Linked DNA regions of Drosophila melanogaster. The protein of the gene in region 1 purifies or fractionates together with the protein of each later gene. This does not show direct contact. Each region holds a gene or a part of one and is shown on either strand. Other genes may lie near its edges. The genes, in order: CG10395 and Nnk.

Region 1 (4,050 bases):
GAGTGGCAGCTTTAGGCGCTTTTAGGGCGTTAGAGTGGACGTGGCAACCAATTTATTTTTGCAAAACGATAGAAATTTACAAGACTAATAATAATGTAAAAAATTAATTAATTAATAATTATAAAAAAATTAATGTAAAATATAATTTTATAGTTCCTGAATCTTGACGTTCATACGGACAGACGGACATGGCCAGATCGACTCGGCTATTGATCCTGATCAAGAATATAAATACTTTATATGGTCAGAAACGCTCCCCCCCACTGCCTGTTACTTTTTAACGAATCTAGTATGCCCTTATACTCTACGAGTAACGGGTTATTAAAAAAGGGTTATTATTTGCATTTCAAATAATTCAAATACTGAAAGCTAATATAATTTCCAAAAGAAAAATACTAAAGCCTCAATGCATTTATATACAAACGCGTAGCTCTTATTTGTTTACGACTCGTTCAGTTGTCAATAGCAACGCAACGCATAGTAAGAAAGTATTACTTTGTTACAATCGCAATAAGATGGAAGAACTTCAAAAAGTTGGTGTGTTTATAGATGAAATTTACACGGTGCGAGTTGAGCATCCAAACCTTTCCAGTAGCAAAATAATGTTTAAACAAGAATGCTTCAACTACATTAAAGCATTCACTATTTTTAAAAAGTTTGTGTTTAATTATTGTAATATTTCTGAAACGTTTGCCAAAGATGTCGATAAGGAAAAACTACGCGCTATTGGTACTCAAAATCAATTAAAAACGGCATTTATTCAGCGCCAGAACAAGCAGCAAGTCTATCAATATGAGATATTTGAGCAAACAGTAGAACTTGAACGCTTAAAAGGCGAATTGCAGTTTTTACAGCGAATTGAAACGGAGCAACATGAAATAATAAACAATTTTTTTGTCAATCAATATTAAAATTAAATCTACGTATTTGTAGACGTTTTTCTTATTTTGTTGATATTCTTACGATAACATGTAAGACTACATAATGGAACATTTGTTGTTGAACAATTATATGTCTTGCGATTTTCACAACCGCTTACAAAGCACACCTGTGAAGGAGGAGGTGTACGAGGGAGTTGAACTTTTAAAGGATATTCGTAACCTGGGGGAACTATTACATAGTTGCCAGTTACAGCACTTATATAGGTTATTTTTGGATAAGAGGGCTGTTGTAAAGACTTATTGCGAATTGAAATCCGATCCCTGTTGGTTGCCTGTTTTTTTAACAACCGCTCCATTGTCTTTAATTTATCTTTTTCTCTGCGTTCGTCAGCTTGTTGTTTTCGTTTTTGAGATTTCAGAAGAGCTTTATGAATTTCCTCCGCAGTCTGCGGCTTTTCCTTTTCTTTATAACCACTTGGAAGAGCAATTAGCTCTTCTATAAATCCATTTATTTCGGAGTCCTGTGTCCGTTCATAAATAGCACGTTGACGTGCTGTCATAAGTTTGGGGTCCTTTATCTTTTTAAGTTCCTCATCAACAACGTCTAGTTTCCCGGTTTCTATGGCGGTAAGCCACCGATCCTCTTCACTGGACGTATCACTGTTGCGTCGTCTTTTACCTTTTTTAGCACCCGTGTGAGGCAAACTGTCATCATGTGCCAATTTTTTTGTGCTAATATTTCTCGTGCGTCTAAGAGGATGTTCATGAATATTTGAATTAGATGCAAGCGCATCTGTAGTGTAATGAAGTTCTTTAGGTCTCAACGAATTTGAAATAGACTCAGCAGATAAGTACTCTGCATCCTTAGAACCTATGAATAAAAAATGTTACTTTTTAAGATGTAACGTTTGGTGATTGATATAAATTACCTTCTTTCACCATTTCAATTGAAATACACTCGTCCTGTAGCAGCGGCCAATATTTTTGTTTGTTATGCTTAATTTTTTCAAATGTCCAAAAATTGCATTGGTCATACATCCACTACGATGCTTATAGCCTAATTCCACAAATGACATCCTTATTAAACGGCTGGGAAAATCGTGCAATCTCTCTGGCCACATAGTATAATGATTTTAAACTTATAATGATTATAATTATAATAATAATAATTATAATAATAATACTAAAAAAAATTTGAATTGTGCACAATATATTTTTGTATTCCCCTTCCTAAATGCATTTAAGCAATTCACAGAATACATAGCAAAACCATGGTTAGCGGTTGTGTTGAACCGATAACCGATGAAACTGAATAGTAACTAAATATCGTTCCTGATGTCGAGACTCCAATCTATGTGCACTTATGCACGCGAATTCAAATTCTGCATGAAAAGCGCATAAGTTGATAAATGAATAATGGATAAAGTTTAATAAAATTACAAATTATTTGAATTTTTGGTCGGGTAATGTTTAATGTTTTTTATGTTAGTGTCATTACAATCGATATGTTCGATTATTTTACTAAACTTTATATATATATATACTATACTATACTATATATATACTGTTTGTCAAGAAACTGTTTACACACCGTGAAATAAGTTGAATTTTTAACTTTAAAGGTCAAAATTAAGGGTTATTTGTTTAATTAAACGCAATTTTTTTATGAAATATAATTAAACAATATTTATTTTACTTATAAATTAAAAAACAAATTCAAAATATCAAATATACAAGAAAATAAACAACAAATTTCAAGTTTACACACTTTTGAGAGTGTAAAGAAACTATTTACACAAAACACTAAACCTAAGTTTAATCATAAATTTTTTAATTATTTTGTTAATATTTGAAAATTTTTAGTATTTAGTATGACCCCCATTGGCTTTGGCTACAAGTTGAAGCCTTTTTTTCATGGAATGGATGAGTTTTTTTAGGTCATATTCAAGCGGGATCTTTTCCCACTCTTCGACTATCGCAGCAATGAGATGTTGCCGTGTTTTGGGGCACCTTTTTGCCACCTTCTTCTTTAAGTAGGTCCACAAATTTTCAATGGGGTTCAGATCAGGACTCTGAGGGGGCGTATCGATCACCTTGCCACAGTTATAAAGTAGCCAGTTGCGTACATTGTACTCTTTATGTTTGGGATCATTGTCGTGATAAAACTTAAAATTTGGCTTGTTGTTGCTAAATAGACCACATTTTTCTGCACTGGCCTTCAAATTTGTTTCTAAAATATCTAGATATTGCACGGCATTCATAGTGCTTTCAATAAAGGCTAATTTGCCCACTCCATGGCTGGAAATACAGCCCCAAATAATCACTGACAATTTTCCAAATTTGATTGTTGGTATGATATTTTGTTTTTCTAGCGCACTCAACGGTTTGCGCCATACTCTGCTTGGCCCGTCGTTATAAAAGAGCATCATATTTGTTTCGTCACAAAATATGACGTCATCCCAGTACTCTTCCGCATGATCTATCATGCTGAATGACGCTTTTCAATATTGACCTCTGATAGCAAAGGCATTTTTCTTGCAACTCTTGAAGAGTACCTATGGTAGTAGGATAACGTGGTGCACAGTTTCGTGTGACACAGTTAGGTGATATTCTTCCCTGATATCCTGAGCAAGTGATCTGACCGAGATTCGGGGGTTCGCAATCACTTTTAAGGCAGTCTACTCGCTTGTTAATTTTGGTTTTCCGCCCATTACCACTCTTAGGTTCAAGCCTGCCCTCTTTTTCCGCACGATTTAAAATATTATAGACGGTCTTAGGTTGCCGTCTCTTGTTCGTTTGCATCCCTCGACTTCTCCTCCACAGGCAAAGTCCACCGATTTCTTTATGATGAATGGTGAAATTCTTTCGAAAGAGTTGTTGTCTTTCCTTTTGATAATTATAAATTTAGGTTCACCTAATTGCGATGGTATGTTTTTGAAGTAATTTTGTAAATGTTTGGTGGGTCTGTCATGATTGTTGGTTAAGAGCTTGAGCCCGGGTTGGCGGTATTGTTGTTGGTTTTATTTTATTTTCTCTTTGTGGTTGATATTTGTTTATCAAGATTTTGCTGATAAGGGTTTTGGGCTTACGCGAAGCCGGGCTTTAAACTGGGTGGCACGACTTATCTCTTCGGAGGTTGAAGTGGTACTGTTGTTTTGCATTATATTCA
Region 2 (4,541 bases), on another chromosome or scaffold:
ATGGACTCCACTGGATAATCAGATGAAAGCTGAGGCTCGCTCTTCACCTGAATAGGATCCTCGCACCGGAGAGGATCGACGAGATCGGCAGGCGGTATTTCCGGGACAACTAAAGGGTAAATTGGGGTTTCTACTGTCTTAAGAGGCACTCCATCCACTTTCTTGCTGCGTTGTGGTAGAATCCTTCTCCTTTGCGGCTGTGCAATACTAATGGGCATAACATCCACCCTACTTTCTAACCTGTTATTCCCGCCTTCCCTTGCAGTCTCAGTGTCCGAATCCTCTTGTTTGCCCTGCTTTTCGAACCAAGACGAATTGGTCCTGATGCAGCGCTCCCGGAATGCGATGGCATCGTTCAGATCCAGCAAGCAGGATAAGCAGATCCTCGTTGGCACACCTGGCTGGTTCCTCAACTGGAATCGAAGAGGGAATGACTCCGTGGTTACCGGGAATAGTCACCTACCCAAAAGCCCGTCAGCTTGAGGATGTTGCTCAGGACATCTCTGGCCTCCTTATCGAAAAGTGACTTGGCGTGCTCCGCCTCCTGGCCACAGGTGCGGCACAGCGTGGTCATCCTTTTTGCAGTTTCAACTCAATTGTTTAGTTTCCGCCAAGTAAACAAAGTTGGACTTCTGTTTACAGAATAATCTAGTTTATCATTGTTTTGTGTGAATGGCACATTTTAAAGTGAACTACAAGGAATTAGTTCTTCCGATTTGAACTGTGGATTTGTTGTAATAAACGTTAAATATTTAAGAGGATGAAAGATCCACTTTCAAAACTGATCGATACACCCAAATCACAGTCAGATATCTTATGATATTTCATCTTATTAACTTCTTAGAAATACTTTTATACTAAATTATTATAATTTTAACAGATAAGAACATTAGACCTCTAAACGGATGACAACACTTAACAACAAAACATTTGTACCTTATTTATTTTTGGAATCAATTTCGGACTTAGCACTCATTGCGATCAGCTTATTTTGATGCTGCCTGGAGCGGTAGTGGGTCTTCAAGTTCGAGTTCCGTGTAAAGGACACTTTGCAGACCTCACAGCTAAGGGGAAAGTAGATAAAAACAAAGTTAAACATTTGAAAAAGTAACTTTTCAAGCAGGAAATAGTTAACTTGATTGCTGGATGTAGTGGATATTAGGAAGTAAAGAGTTACAAAGTGGGAATAATAAGATGATTGATACTTAAAGGAATATGTTAGGAGAAAGAAAAATCTAGCCATATATCTTCACAAGATCTTACTGGAAGTTACGCTCGCCGGTGTGGACCACCTCGTGCTTGGCCCTCTGGTAGTTCGACTCGTATCGCTTGTCGCAATAGTTGCACTTGAAGTTCTTTGGTGTTTTCTTGTTCCGGTGTACCCGGCTGAAAGAATGGCAGTGTTCGTAGGTGCAATTTAGGGGATTTAAGGTATGCTATAGACTCACTTTTCGTGGCGCGATCGCATAGTACTGTGCACAAAACGCTCGTCGCAGAACTGGCAAGCGTATGGCTTCTCTCCGCGGTGCTTCACCCGAATGTGAATGTTCAGGATGTACCTGTTGAACTCCTTTTGTCCGCACTCAGGACACTCGAAGGGCTTGACGCCCGAGTGGCGCAGCACGTGCAGATTAAAGTTGCCCTTGTCGGTGAATTTCTTGCCGCAATGGTCACAGATGTGGACCTTTTGGCTTATGTATGTTTTTCGTTTTTTCTTCGCAGGTTTGAGAAAGTCGGTGTCGTCGTTTTTGGGAGATGATCTCTTGGTGTATTTTCGACGAGGCTTCTTATCTTCGTCAAGGGCCGATTGACGCGATGTGGCTTCTATATCTGACATAGAATCAGCATCTGTATCGCTGTCGCCGTCCTCGTTCTGCCAAAGCTCGTCGTCGTCTTCCTGTGACTCCTCTTCGTCCTCCTCATTTTGCTGACTTTCCTCCTCATCTGGCTGTGACTCCTCACATTCCTGTGACTCCTCGCCATCATCATGTCCTGTCTTTTTATCCACCATATCCTCATACTCCTGCTGTTGCTCTTGCTCATCATCCTCCTTACTGAAGGGTATTTCGCAGGCAATATCTTCAAATTCCTTGTTCTCATTAACCTCGCTTTCTTCCTCCTCCTTCTTGTACAGGTCGTGGTCTTCCTCCAGTCCTTCATTATCCGCATAGGACACCTCGTACAACACCTCCTGCTCCACTTCCGCATCGTTGATCTTCAGCCCCTCGTGCGCATCGCTCAGCGGATCAGCCCAGCATCCGTCATCCTTGGCTTCCACACTTCGGCGCTGGATTGTCAGTCGATTGTTGGTCTTGATGCAGGCTTGCCGGAAGGCAATGGCGCTCTTCAGGCTCAGCAGGCAGCAGGAGCACATATTCCGGGGCATCTTCGAGTGGTCGGTGAGCTTGAAAACCAAACGAGCATTAGCGGTTTAAATTTGCCAATTTAATTTACACACTCACCCAAAGGCCCGTGACCAATGCGATTTGCCTGACCATTTTGCTGTTCTCATCGAATATGTTAACTGGATTTTGCGTGTATATTAAATCTCCACACAACCGGCATTGTGGCGTCATTTTTAAGAGTTATTTTTCGAGCCAAAATTCCTTGCTTTATTAACAGCTGCTGCTTCATTTTGGGCCATTCGCAGCGAACTGTTGTTGTTGTCCGCGTCTCTGGGTGACTGCCAAGCGGTGGCGCCAAAATTTGAAAATGGCGCCTTTTATTCAAGGGTCGTTATGGAATATACTCCAAGCATTTGCTTTTCGTGGCAAATAGGAATTACCAAATATATTTACCACTTCAAAAAAAGAATTAAAAATATATATTATACATAAGTTTTCTGTTTTTAAATGAAAACGATTAATTAAATAGTAAGGTATTTAACATTTCGAAATGAATGGCTGTCCAAATATTACACTCTTAAAGAAACTACTTCATAATAGGAAAAGCAAATGACAAAAATGTAATACAAAAAAGTTATAGCAAACGAAGGGCAATCCAGTGCCAAAACAGTGAGAATACGTTCAAACATTTATGTCTAATAGATATCCTGAGCCTCAGAATTATCCAAGTCGTGCTTTCATCTACATATCCCGCATCTTATAAGACGGAATTAAAAACGATCTCTAATTCTTTGGCGAATCAATGCTCTTCGGATTCCAGGATGGCGCTGGCTCTTTTCTGGTGAGCAACCGAATCGAAGTGACTCCTTAGCGTTGCCTTTCGGGCAAAGTTGATTTGGCAAATAACGCAGCTGAGAGGGAAATACACGACTTGTATTAAATATGCGCAAATTTCATATCATTTCACTTACTCAAAGGGCTTAAGACCTGAGTGCAGGAACTTGTGCTTATTCAAGCAGGTCTTGGTATTGAATCTCTTGGTGCACTGGTCGCATTGGTACCTCAGATCTCTGATGTGCCGTATTCTGTCATAGTGTTAGGAAATTGTTTATGTCAGCGCTTTTAAAGTTAAATACAATTGCAGTAAGGACTTACCGCTCATGGCTCGACTTAGCTGTACTTGTGAAAAACGTTGCCGAGCAGAAGTTGCACTCAAACGGCTGTTCGCCCATGTGGCGCACTCGTTCGTGTAGACGAGCCAGATACTTGGTGACGAACCGCTTGTCGCAGAACGTGCATGGAAAGTTCTTCTCACCCGTGTGGCGCACCATATGCGTCTTTAGGTTGTATGGAGTCTTAAAGACCCTTCCGCACTTAGGGCACACCAGGGATTGCATTTTCCGAGCTGTCCTTTTTGCAGGGGGTACATTCTCAGCTGCCACATCTTCTGGAGCTAATGCAAGGGGCTTTACTACCTTAATAGAGGGATACGTTGTAAGTAGTCTCAGATCGGTTCCAATTTGTATAAAGTTTCCCTTTTTTGGGCTTTTTGCATCGACTTTGTTAGGCAAGTTTTCATTTGCAAATGAAGGAGTCTCAATTAATGGATTTTTATGCTTAAATATTAAGGGGGTTTCCGAATCATAAGGATTATGTGGTTCGTTTCTCCTATCCTCATGGGCGAGATTTAAATCAATATCGGATTCCTCTGCTTTTTTGTCAAATGGATAGTTTTCTGAATCATATGATTCCTCCGATTCCAAGTCACTGGAATCCCCTTCTGGCTCTATATCGGATACAGTGCTTTCTAGATCCTCATCAAGCCCAGATTCCCGCCTCAGCGTTGCTTCATTGTGAACTCGTTGAATGCGCTTCTTTAACTTAATCGATGTGTTCAAGTCATTTAAACAAGATGGGCAAATATGACGCGGCTGGCGTTCATTCTGTTCTAACTGTAAATGGAGTAAATGGGTTATGCCATTCACGCACACAAGAAACCATCAACATACCCATATTCCAGTGAGATCCTTGATCTTGGCCAGAACTTCCAGGCAAAAAATTATCGTGGGATTCAGGTGACAGAAACACGAGGCGCACAAATGGCATTGCGAAGGCTTTTTCATTTCAAACATATGATCATTTATCCCGCTGAATTCCCAAAACAATCAGCTGTAGTTTAATTGATTTTATGTTGTC

What was found.
Region 2: the proteins of CG10395 (region 1) and Nnk purify together in Drosophila melanogaster (affinity purification with mass spectrometry, with the first as the bait; one large-scale study listed by BioGRID). This does not show direct contact.

The regions. Positions count from the first base shown.
Region 1 is NT_033778.4:5,348,582-5,352,631, reverse strand, and holds CG10395 (uncharacterized protein), read right to left. Parts: upstream 2,156-4,050; 5' UTR 1,824-2,155; coding exon 1,811-1,823; intron 1,753-1,810; coding exon 920-1,752; 3' UTR 912-919; downstream 1-911. Other genes in the region: IFT20 (intraflagellar transport 20), read left to right, coding at 516-911.
Region 2 is NT_033777.3:17,802,593-17,807,133, forward strand, and holds Nnk (nicknack), read right to left. Parts: upstream 2,658-4,541; 5' UTR 2,577-2,657; coding exon 2,463-2,576; intron 2,405-2,462; coding exon 1,449-2,404; intron 1,387-1,448; coding exon 1,264-1,386; intron 1,065-1,263; coding exon 938-1,064; 3' UTR 633-937; downstream 1-632. Other genes in the region: CG17806 (uncharacterized protein), read right to left, coding at 1-413, 464-574; CG17801 (uncharacterized protein), read right to left, coding at 3,145-3,256, 3,317-3,430, 3,501-4,297, 4,355-4,477.